Caenorhabditis elegans: one gene and its partners. The protein of the gene in region 1 purifies or fractionates together with the protein of each later gene. This does not show direct contact. Each region holds a gene or a part of one and is shown in the gene's direction. Other genes may lie near its edges. The genes, in order: R06C1.4, ttr-5 and lbp-4.

Evidence for each region.
Region 2: the proteins of R06C1.4 (region 1) and ttr-5 fractionate together in Caenorhabditis elegans (co-fractionation; one large-scale study listed by BioGRID). This does not show direct contact.
Region 3: the proteins of R06C1.4 (region 1) and lbp-4 fractionate together in Caenorhabditis elegans (co-fractionation; one large-scale study listed by BioGRID). This does not show direct contact.

Annotation. Positions count from the first base shown.
Region 1 is NC_003279.8:11,928,716-11,932,304, forward strand, and holds R06C1.4 (RRM domain-containing protein), read left to right. Parts: upstream 1-2,049; 5' UTR 2,050-2,091; coding exon 2,092-2,119; intron 2,120-2,618; coding exon 2,619-2,697; intron 2,698-2,772; coding exon 2,773-2,920; 3' UTR 2,921-3,042; downstream 3,043-3,589. Other genes in the region: wve-1 (Wiskott-Aldrich syndrome protein family member), read right to left, coding at 3-606, 656-792.
Region 2 is NC_003281.10:9,328,531-9,331,437, forward strand, and holds ttr-5 (Transthyretin-like protein 5), read left to right. Parts: upstream 1-1,785; 5' UTR 1,786-1,786; coding exon 1,787-1,931; intron 1,932-1,976; coding exon 1,977-2,113; intron 2,114-2,158; coding exon 2,159-2,215; intron 2,216-2,263; coding exon 2,264-2,344; 3' UTR 2,345-2,398; downstream 2,399-2,907. Other genes in the region: cepr-104.1 (CEntrosomal Protein Related), read right to left, coding at 1-558, 676-836.
Region 3 is NC_003283.11:7,818,679-7,822,056, forward strand, and holds lbp-4 (Fatty acid-binding protein homolog 4), read left to right. Parts: upstream 1-1,899; 5' UTR 1,900-1,908; coding exon 1,909-2,066; intron 2,067-2,322; coding exon 2,323-2,425; intron 2,426-2,476; coding exon 2,477-2,653; 3' UTR 2,654-2,799; downstream 2,800-3,378.

The DNA of each region.
Region 1 (3,589 bases):
ACCTGATTTTTAAAGTTAAGCTGAAGCCCGAGAGCCTGCGGAGCCTGATATTCCTCCGGGAACGAGAAAACTTCATTCTGCTGATTAATCCGTGATCCACTAATCTGTCGATTCCTATGCTGCATATCATTATAGGCCGTCGTGCCGAGAGGGCCTTGTCCAGGCTGCTTCCGCCGCTTTTTCGGGCTTTTACTCCCGTCGTTCGGGCTTTTTACCCGTCTGGGCCGTTCGGCAACCTCTTTTAGTGTCTCCTTTTTCCATAAATCGAAGAAAAACGAGGGATTTGTGTAGAGAGAGAGCGCAGGGATTTCAGAGTCTCTATACGGATTTAGAGCATCAAGATCCGGCGGTGGATCACATTTTGCATATATTTCAGTCAATGCTGTAGGTAAAGTGCTTCTATCCAGAATATGTTGATCTACAAGCATTGAACTTTTGAATGCTTTTCGCATATTCGCTTCATTCAACGTTGCTTGATCGGAATTTGAATCCAAATCTTCAACTTTCTTGTGCAATCTATCAATTCTCTGTTGAAGAGTGTTCGATTTGTGATTTATTATCATTGCGTCGTGATAAATCTCTCCGAAGATGTTCTCAGCGTGCTTACTGCAAAAAAAAATCGATAAAATTCCAGTTTTCCGACCTAATTTCCCACCTCAACGAGCTCAATTGTCGTACTAAATTGGCGATTGTCCCATTAGCAGTACATTGAAGCTCATCACGATGGATTGTTGATGGAATTGTGCCTCTGCTGAGGTTTACCGGTGATACCGCCCGTTTTGTTAGAGGCATTGCTGAAAATGTGCAGAAATTGCGGGATTATGTGGGTGGAAATTGCGAGAAAGCGTTAGAATTCACAGAAGATGACTTGAAATCGAAAAAAAATCACTTTCTTCCCTGAATAATATGTAAAAATCCATGGATTTAATGGAAATTGGCACGAAAATCGTGAAAAAAATTAGTTAAACATAAAAATTCACTGGAAACTTCATAAAAGCGAGCAGCCAAAATCAATGAAATTAGTTGGAAAATTCCACGAAAAACTCTAATGTTAATGGTAAACACGAAAATGCACTGGAAAAATTATAAAATTGAGTTTTTTAAACAGAAAAGCCACTTTTTTAATAAAATTATGCTGAAATTGGTAACTTTACCGGGAAAAATCGCTAGAAAACATATAAAATTGCTTCATTTACATGCTAAACCCACAAATTCACTGAAAAACTTATAAAACCTAATTTTCCAACGAAATATCATAAAATACATAGTTTTTCAGCTTCAAAATTATTATTTCTGTCAGAAAATGTTTTTTTTCATCGGAAAAACTGCAAAAAACGAGGAAAAACCAATAAAATCTCATGTTTTTCAATTAAAATATCATTAATCCAGAAATGCGCCAAGGTGCACCCGGGATGCGTCAGCAAACACTCACGAGAAGTGCGCAAGCGAGCGTCTGCACTCTCTCGAATACATACAGTGTCTCGCTGTGATTCATCGGAAATATTTTCATTTCCGGAAATGTTTTATATTTATTTAAATATTAATTTTTTTCGGTCTAAAAAATGATATACAAAACAAAAAATCGATACAGGAAAATGCGAAAATAGAATGAGATTGAAATTTCAATATTTACTGTTCAAAATATTCAAAATATCGTGAAATGGCGAGGTTTCGGAGAGATGGTCCTTTTTATTTATCAATGAAATTGTTCTAATTCTGAGAAAAATAACAAAATATAGCTAAATTCTCAATTTTCGCCAACTTGGTTGTGTCACAGAAGCTAAAATTCATTTCGAATACCGAGCCCGTACAGTAGTCATTTAAAGAATTACTGTAGTTTTCGCTACGAGGTATATTTCGCGTCAAATTTGTTACGTAATAAGCATTTCACTTTCCCAACAATTGCCGATTTCTTCTCCAAAATATCCCTCCCGTAAACCTACACAAAATCGACCGTAGTGCGGCACGTTCGCTGCGAGACCCGCCGCGCGTTTGGCCTCAATCTTTTTAGGACTGCCAAATTCGATCGAACATTTTTAGTCTGTCTTCCACGCGGAAACACACTCGTTTTTCTTCAAAAAAAAATCTATCATGGCTTCCCAAGGATTCTCCGTCTACGGTAAGTATAGTAATAAATCGGTGGTGAAAATTAAATTTAAATTTGTACAAATTTTGAATATGATACAAAATTCTCAAAACTTCTGAAACTTTCTCACACTTTTCTTCGATGAACTTTTCTTCGACTTGCAGAAAGTATCGATTTCTGATAATTGTTAGCGTTTTCCGATCGGCCTTCGTTCTCTATGGTTCATTCGTGTTCCTTGACAACAAATCCCGATATTTCAGGTAGTCCCCTTCCACGTGTATAAGTATAACTGAGTCTACTAACTGAGTACCCGGGACCCCACACGGATCGCCACACAATTCTGGAAATGGAGACGCCGTTCGACCACAAAAAGTATGGGTGAAGAGACTTTTCGCACTGTCATGGTCTCCGTAGTCTAGGACTAGGATAGGGTGCATTTGCTCTGTAACAGTGCATTGTGAGAGTTTGTAACTTTCTATATATAGGCCAAAACCTACTATTACCCCCGTTTTGCTAATCGATTTTTTTCTAGTTGGAAACGTTCCATACCAAGGAACTGAGGAGGAGATCGGAAACTACTTCGCCGCCGTCGGACATGTTAACAACGTCAGGTAAGAGAACTCAGAAACTCAGAAACTCGGAAACTTTCGATTAAAACCTTGTCAAAACTAATCAATGTCTTCCAGAATCGTGTACGATCGTGAAACCGGACGCCCACGCGGTTTCGCATTCGTCGAGTTCTCCGAGGAAGCCGGAGCTCAAAGAGCCGTCGAACAACTTAACGGAGTTGCCTTCAATGGACGCAACCTTCGTGTCAACTACGCCAACAAGTAAACTGACAACGCCGCCGAGTGACTCAAAGAGATTGCACTTGTGATATACATTCCACCAAAAATTCTATCTTCGTGCATGTTTTTCACCATCTACACTTAAATAATAAATCTTTTTGAAAACTGAAAACTTCGAGCATTTTTTCACAGAGTGCAGGTTTACGGCTCAGTCTTAGGCTTAGGCTTAGGCTTAAGCATAGGCTGGGGCTCAGGCTTCGGCTTTTAGACCTAAAAAAAGATCGTTGCACCATGAGCAAAGTATTATAAAGAAAATTGACTTCAAAGAAACTGACACGTGGTGTCAAAGTGTCCCATTTTGGTTTGATCTTCGAAAAATGAGGGAAAAGAGACGCAGACTTTTCAACTGACGTCACACTTTCCTGGGGAGAAAATTCCCGCATTTTTTGTAGATCAAACCGCAATGAGACAGCCTGACTCCACAGATCCCATCTGAAAACTCATGAATTTAAATAATGATGCATACTTTTACTCTGTTCTGGCTTTGCATCACTTTGAGAGCCTTTTCAAGCTTTTCAGATAAATATTTCCTTGATTGTGCTTGCCTACGAGCCTACGTGCATACACAGAGATTTCGTTCGTACTTTTCTGATTACATCTCGGGATCCGCGGGAGTACTCCACTACTTTACGAGAGAGACCATAGGCTTATCCGT
Region 2 (2,907 bases), on another chromosome or scaffold:
GGAATAACTCTCCGTTCTGGGGATCTTGTGGTTGCCTTTGACGTCATTCTTTGATCTCCATTATCATTATTTCCTCTGTTACTTTGCCTACTTTCAGTTTTTCTTCCTTTTGGTGTTTCAGCTCTTTTCCTAGGTTTCATAGGTGTCATTGGCTTCCAATCATCTGATGGCATTGGATTCTTATCAGGTGTCCATTTTGAATTGACTCCAAATGCTTTCATAGTTCCATCTTCCATCATTAAATCTGAATATGCATTTCTGATTGCATCAGACTTCACTCTATCCATATCCTTTGCTATCTGTTCAGCCTGCCGTGAGTCTCCTCTGACAACTGCGTCGCTTCTCTTGTGACTCAAATCGACAAGTTGTTTCTCGGCTTTTGATAGATCATCACAAGCTGATTGGCACAAATGTGATTTGACAGGTTCGTCCTTGTCACGATGCTCAAGGGACATGACTCGGAGATTGTTACGGAGAGTTCGGACTGATGCCAATGGATCGGCTCCAACATCTGAGCTCCGTTCGTCGTAGCCTTGCATTTTATACTCATTTTTGGGTCTGCAAGGTATCTAGTGAGGTAACGGATCATGAAAAACTGCACGATGTCTAGGATTTTGAAAGCTATTAATACAACTGACTTCTGACAATGAATCCAGAAATCAAAAAAGTACTTACAATCCATAATCTCCAATCTCTTTCTTCTCTTTTTCTTTTTCTTTGTCTATTGGCTTGAATCTTCCACCATTCCTCGAGCTCGCACGACTTCCCATTCCAGCAGCATTCCGTCGTTCTTTGTAATCGTCGTACTCCAGATCAAAGTTCCTAGATGACGACATTGGGGGAAGAATAATAGTTGTAAAAAAATATTTTGAAGAAAGTTTGGAAAGAAGGACGATGCTTGGAGCTAATCTATAATTCCCTTTTCTTTACATTTTTTTTGTTGGGTGTGTTACTATGGAAAGGAGAATAATGAAATGTTGAAAAGAAACAAATATACTAAACAAAAATTATATCGAAGGTTAAAGGAAAGCAGGTGTTTTGAGTAATACATTCTTCAATTAAACACTTTCAGGCGTAAGGAAGGCATGCAACAGGCATGTAAATAAGAATGTTAGTTGGGAAATATGATGATCGTGGGTCTGTCTACCTAAGAGCCTGCATGTTAACCATTTACCTTCGTACATGCCTATTCTGACCTTTCTCTTTGCCGGATGTTTGTTTTTAGGTTTTGGTCATAATGTTGACATCAACCTTTGGCATATCTTATTGAGTTTGTTCTCTTTGTATTTTTTTTCATACAGTTTCGGATACGTTTTCCTGGCTAGAGTTTCCCAGGTATGACTACTTGTTTGATTCTAATTGAAAGGTCACTTTTGTTTTTTATGTTTTTTAATGAATTAGTTGGTGTTTGACTTGTTTACAATTGTCTGATACACCATTTGTTTTGAAAATGATATACTTTGAGGTAACAAATAATCAGATCATCTCTTAGTATATTTTCTCGTACAGGTGTATATAAATTGATTAAATCTACTTATTTTCCATGGAAACTAATACAATTTGTGGACTACAACCACACTTTTCTGTCAAGCTTTTTTTTTATCAAAAAGATATATAACAACAAATCTCTCTTTTTTTCCGAATTATCTTCTTTTTCTTATCTTTTCCTGAGATTTCGTAAACATGTTGTTTTCTGAGAGCATAGCTATTGGTTCTTTGTTGGTTCCATTCTTCCATCCCGGCCTTTTTTACTTTATCATTTTGTTCTCAACAAAAGAATTTCAGAATGAAGCTTATAATCCTTTTGTGCCTTGTTGCCTCAAGCTATGCTTTAATTGGAAATACCCAATCGGCTGGAGTACGTGGAAAACTGATCTGCAATGGAAAACCAGCTGTTGGAGTTTTGGTCAAGTTGTATGATGATGATAGAGGTAATCAAAAACTTTTTTGAATATTTCCTAAAAGTCTATTTCTAGGAATCGATGCCGATGATTTGATGGCTTCTGGAAAGACCAATGGCAACGGAGATTTTGAAATTTCTGGACACGAAGATGAAGTGACTCCAATCGACCCAAAACTTAACATTTACCATGACTGCAATGATGGAATTAAGGTTTCTGGATGACTTTATTACATTTTAAGATAATTGAATTTTCAGCCCTGCCAACGCAAGTTCACTATCAAGATCCCAGATAGCTACATCAACAAGGGAAAGGTAAGAAGATTAAAAAAACTGGAAGTAAACTGAAATTAATATTTTCAGACTGTCCGTAATATTTACGATGCCGGAGTCATTCAACTTGCTGGATCTTTCCCAGGAGAAGGACGTGACTGTCTTCACTAAACTTACCAACTTATATATACTCTTTTTTCTTGAAATAAATCTTTTTAAAATAACAATTTTGGATTGCAACTTCAAATTTTTCAGAGAAAACATTTCGATCCTATTTTCTATAAAAATAAAGTATAACTGGAATATTCAGGAATGCAATAAATATAGATATTTTCCCTATAGTGCAAGAATCACAGGGGATACTGCAATCCTCGAAAACACATTTTATCCGTGATTTCGAATTTTAAAAAACTCATTGAAATATTTAAAATCATTCCTAGAAGATTATCGTTGTAAATTTTATAAATACCACCAATTTGTGCTGGATATTGAATTGAATTTTTTTAATATCGACAGTAATCTACTACGGCCAACAATTTTCGTACCGTCACTTGGTGTAATGTCCGCAAACACCACCACGTCGGAATGCACAAACTGGCCAACACGCATTCTTTTTTATTGTGTCTTCTTTTTTCTTTTTTAAAGTTATAAATATTGACGTTATTTAAAGCATAGAATTGTGAGAGAATGGAAAAACGCATCTAAATACTTTGAAATATAATATTCTCTTCAAA
Region 3 (3,378 bases), on another chromosome or scaffold:
GTAGGAAATTTGTTATAATATTGAATATTTCAATTACCAAATCAGGAAGTATACAATTTTTTACAAGGAGAAATTATTGGAAATGAGAAACCTCGACAGTCTCTTAAAGTAAGAACTTTTGTTAATTTTCTAATTAACCGTACTTGGTTTTTTCAAAAGTACTGAAATTCTGAAGAAATTAAGCCTTATGAAAAGTCTGAAAAGGGATTTTGGAAACAATTACTTTTTTCAGCATTGGGAAAACGGAGAAAAAAACTCATTTTTGAGAATTTTTAGGGTGGCCGAATTTTCTTTTTTTTTCTTCTAGGCTACGCCTTGGTACTAAAAATTCTATCCGAACATAAAAGGAGCAATACAGTTTTAAACTGAAAAGAAATCACGTGGCAATACACGTCATAAAACATAACGACTACAAAACTAAAAGTTTATGCAGTCTTCGCTTGCTTCTCGAAAAACTTGTTATGGAAATGAAATTTGATATCTTCATGCTTTACTAACTAGCTTCTGTGAAGTAGGGAAGAAGATCAGTGAGTGGAATTATATATTCTATGAATCTTTCCATTTTGTTAGGGCAGCGCGGGAATTAGAGCAAACTTTCTCGATTATTTAAAATTTTATTTAAAAAACAAAGTTACTAGTTTAAATATCGTATTTCCTCTATTTGTATTGCATCCCATTGTTCAACTTTGACAACTTAAATATCAGTTATTGTTTGTTCTATTCAAAAATTGTCAACTAACAAAATATTTGTTAGATCTTTTTCTGTCATTTCGTAGTTAATAATATATACTACATCTTTTGAAAGAATTGAGTTATAACGTTTCAAAGTTGAGTAGTAGAGTGCAATACTAATAGAGGAAATACGATATTTATATTATTGCTCAACAATAGCGATTTTCGTAAATATTTTTGCAACACAGCGTTCGCACAAATTATTTTGAGTTCGCGTGATCTTTAAAATAAAACAAGGCAGCAAAACATAAAATCTTCAAACACAAGAGATGCTCTTTTCATCTTCCTGAAATGAGGGAGCTCAAAGAAAAAGAAAACCCGAAAAGTTGTGAATAGCTCCGCCCCGCCTATCTGCGTCTCTGCTTTTTCGGCATTTGATCATTTCGAAAAGTCTGACCAATCTGATTAAAGTATGTATGTGTGTTTGCACTAAAGGCGGCTTTTCTATGGCTCTCGCCTCATAACATTCATCCCATCTTAATTTTTGCAGCTGAAAAATGGGCAAATAGAAGCGGAAAGTAGGAAAAAAGGCGCCAAAATAAGCAAATGAATGACGGAAAAACGGAGAGAATATTTGGCGAGGTGCCAAGCGAGCTCCTACGTGTCAACTTCGATTATACCTCTGTTTTTCGTTGATTTTCCGTGTTTATTGAGTGCCCACAGGAAAACAAAAACGCATACTCGTGAATAAATAAGACATGAAACGAATGTGGCATGTGGAAATGGAGATTTTTTTGGGAATATAAATCTGGAATTTCAGCTGAACTTTTCATTATCTAGTTCATTTGCAAGTATATTTTTTATTTTGCAGTTTATTTTCATCTTCTACTAATAATAGTTTAAATGGGTCGCATTTTATGGTCTTGGCACGAACGCTAAATTAAGAAAAATACAGAACAGTTGACTTAAGAAAGGGAAATGGCGATTTTTCTTTTCTAAAATCGTTAGTTCCATTTCAAAATTGACCTGAACTTTATTTTCACTTATAAAATTTTCACAAATATGTTTCCTCGGAATCTATTTTCCATTAGTCTGTGGTGACTTAATACAGACGCAATCGCGCTCCACCGACACCTAATTATTGTTACCGTTCAATTTAATTCGTTCTTTCATTTATTTCAATTTTTTCCCCGTTTATTTAATTTGCATCATTAAAAAAGTTTTCAGAAAAGGAAAATGTCAGTGCCAGACAAGTTCTTTGGCCGTTATCAGCTCGATAAAAGCGAGAATTTTGATGAATTTCTCTCCTCGAAAGGTGTCAACTGGTTCGTACGGCAAATGATCAAGTTGGCTGGACTCACTAAAATTATCTCACAAAATCAAGAAGCTGGGAAGTGAGTTCAATTAATAATTTTTTTTAACTGAAAATAACCATAACTTTTTATCTGGTGAAAAACTTTTTTAACGAAATTTTTAATTTTTAGAATTTACAACTGTCAACTCTAAAATTGGAAATACGTGAAATTTTTAAAATAAATATGTCACATGCTTCTTTGGCATTTCCAAGTGGTGGAGGAAATCTTTGTCATAAATTTTTCATGTTTTCGTCTAGAGACCACGAAAACATTCAGTTCATCTTGCCTATTCCAGGTACAACATGGAAAATCTAACTTCAAAAAAGAACACCAACTATCAGGCATGGGAACTTGGAAAAAAATTCGAAGCTCCTGGATTGGATGGAAATCAACATGAGGTGAGAACGAAAATTATTTAAATAATTAATTAAAACAATTTCCAATTTCAGATCACTTTCGACTTCAAAGATGAAATCCTTTCGGAGCATCATATTCGCCTGAATGAACCAGAAACCAGCGCAGAGACTTATTTCTACACTATCGACGATCAAAATCAACTGGTGATGAGAATGGAGAATAATGGAATCGTCTGTCGCCGTTGGTTCAAGAGAGTCGAGCAGAAGTGATCTGAATGTTGATTTGATGCTTCTCTGTTAATAGTTAAACCTTATTTATATTATTGTGATTATTTATTGCTGTGCCTTTTTTGTTAATTTTACATTGAGGGTTTGCATAATTGTTTAAGTTTTTGATGAAAAGTTTCAGCTGTTCCTTCTGTGGTTTTGCACTCAACACTTTAAAAAGCAGATGTTCAGAAATGATGTCATTGAAATTGAATGTGGCGTGTTCTTGAATGTTTACCGCAACAAACGGATCAACTTTTCTGGCAAAGTGCCAGCCGTCTCCGATCGCCAGACAGGCTTTACGATGTGAGATGCGCGCACTTTTTGTGTTGACCCGGTCAACTGTGGTTACACTCGGAACACAATTCTGATTACACTTGAAAAACGAAATTGAACAAAAAATATAGAAAATAATCAAAATCAGAACATTATCTGTTTTTGAAATAATTAATCACGGCAAAAGTTCGCAGAAAAACGTCCTTGACGAAAATATTGCGAATTTAAATTTTTTTAAAAAGCTAGAATACGGTACCCGGTCTAGGCACGAAATATTTTTGTTAAATCCAAAAAGATGTGCGCCTTCGAAGAGTACTGTAATTTCGAACTTGTTGCTACGGAATTTTCATCGATTTTTAATAGTTTTTCGATAAAATAGTTATTTATTTACTTATCAAATACTGAAATATAATAATATCATCATATGATGAGTGAAAAATTATGAAAAATCG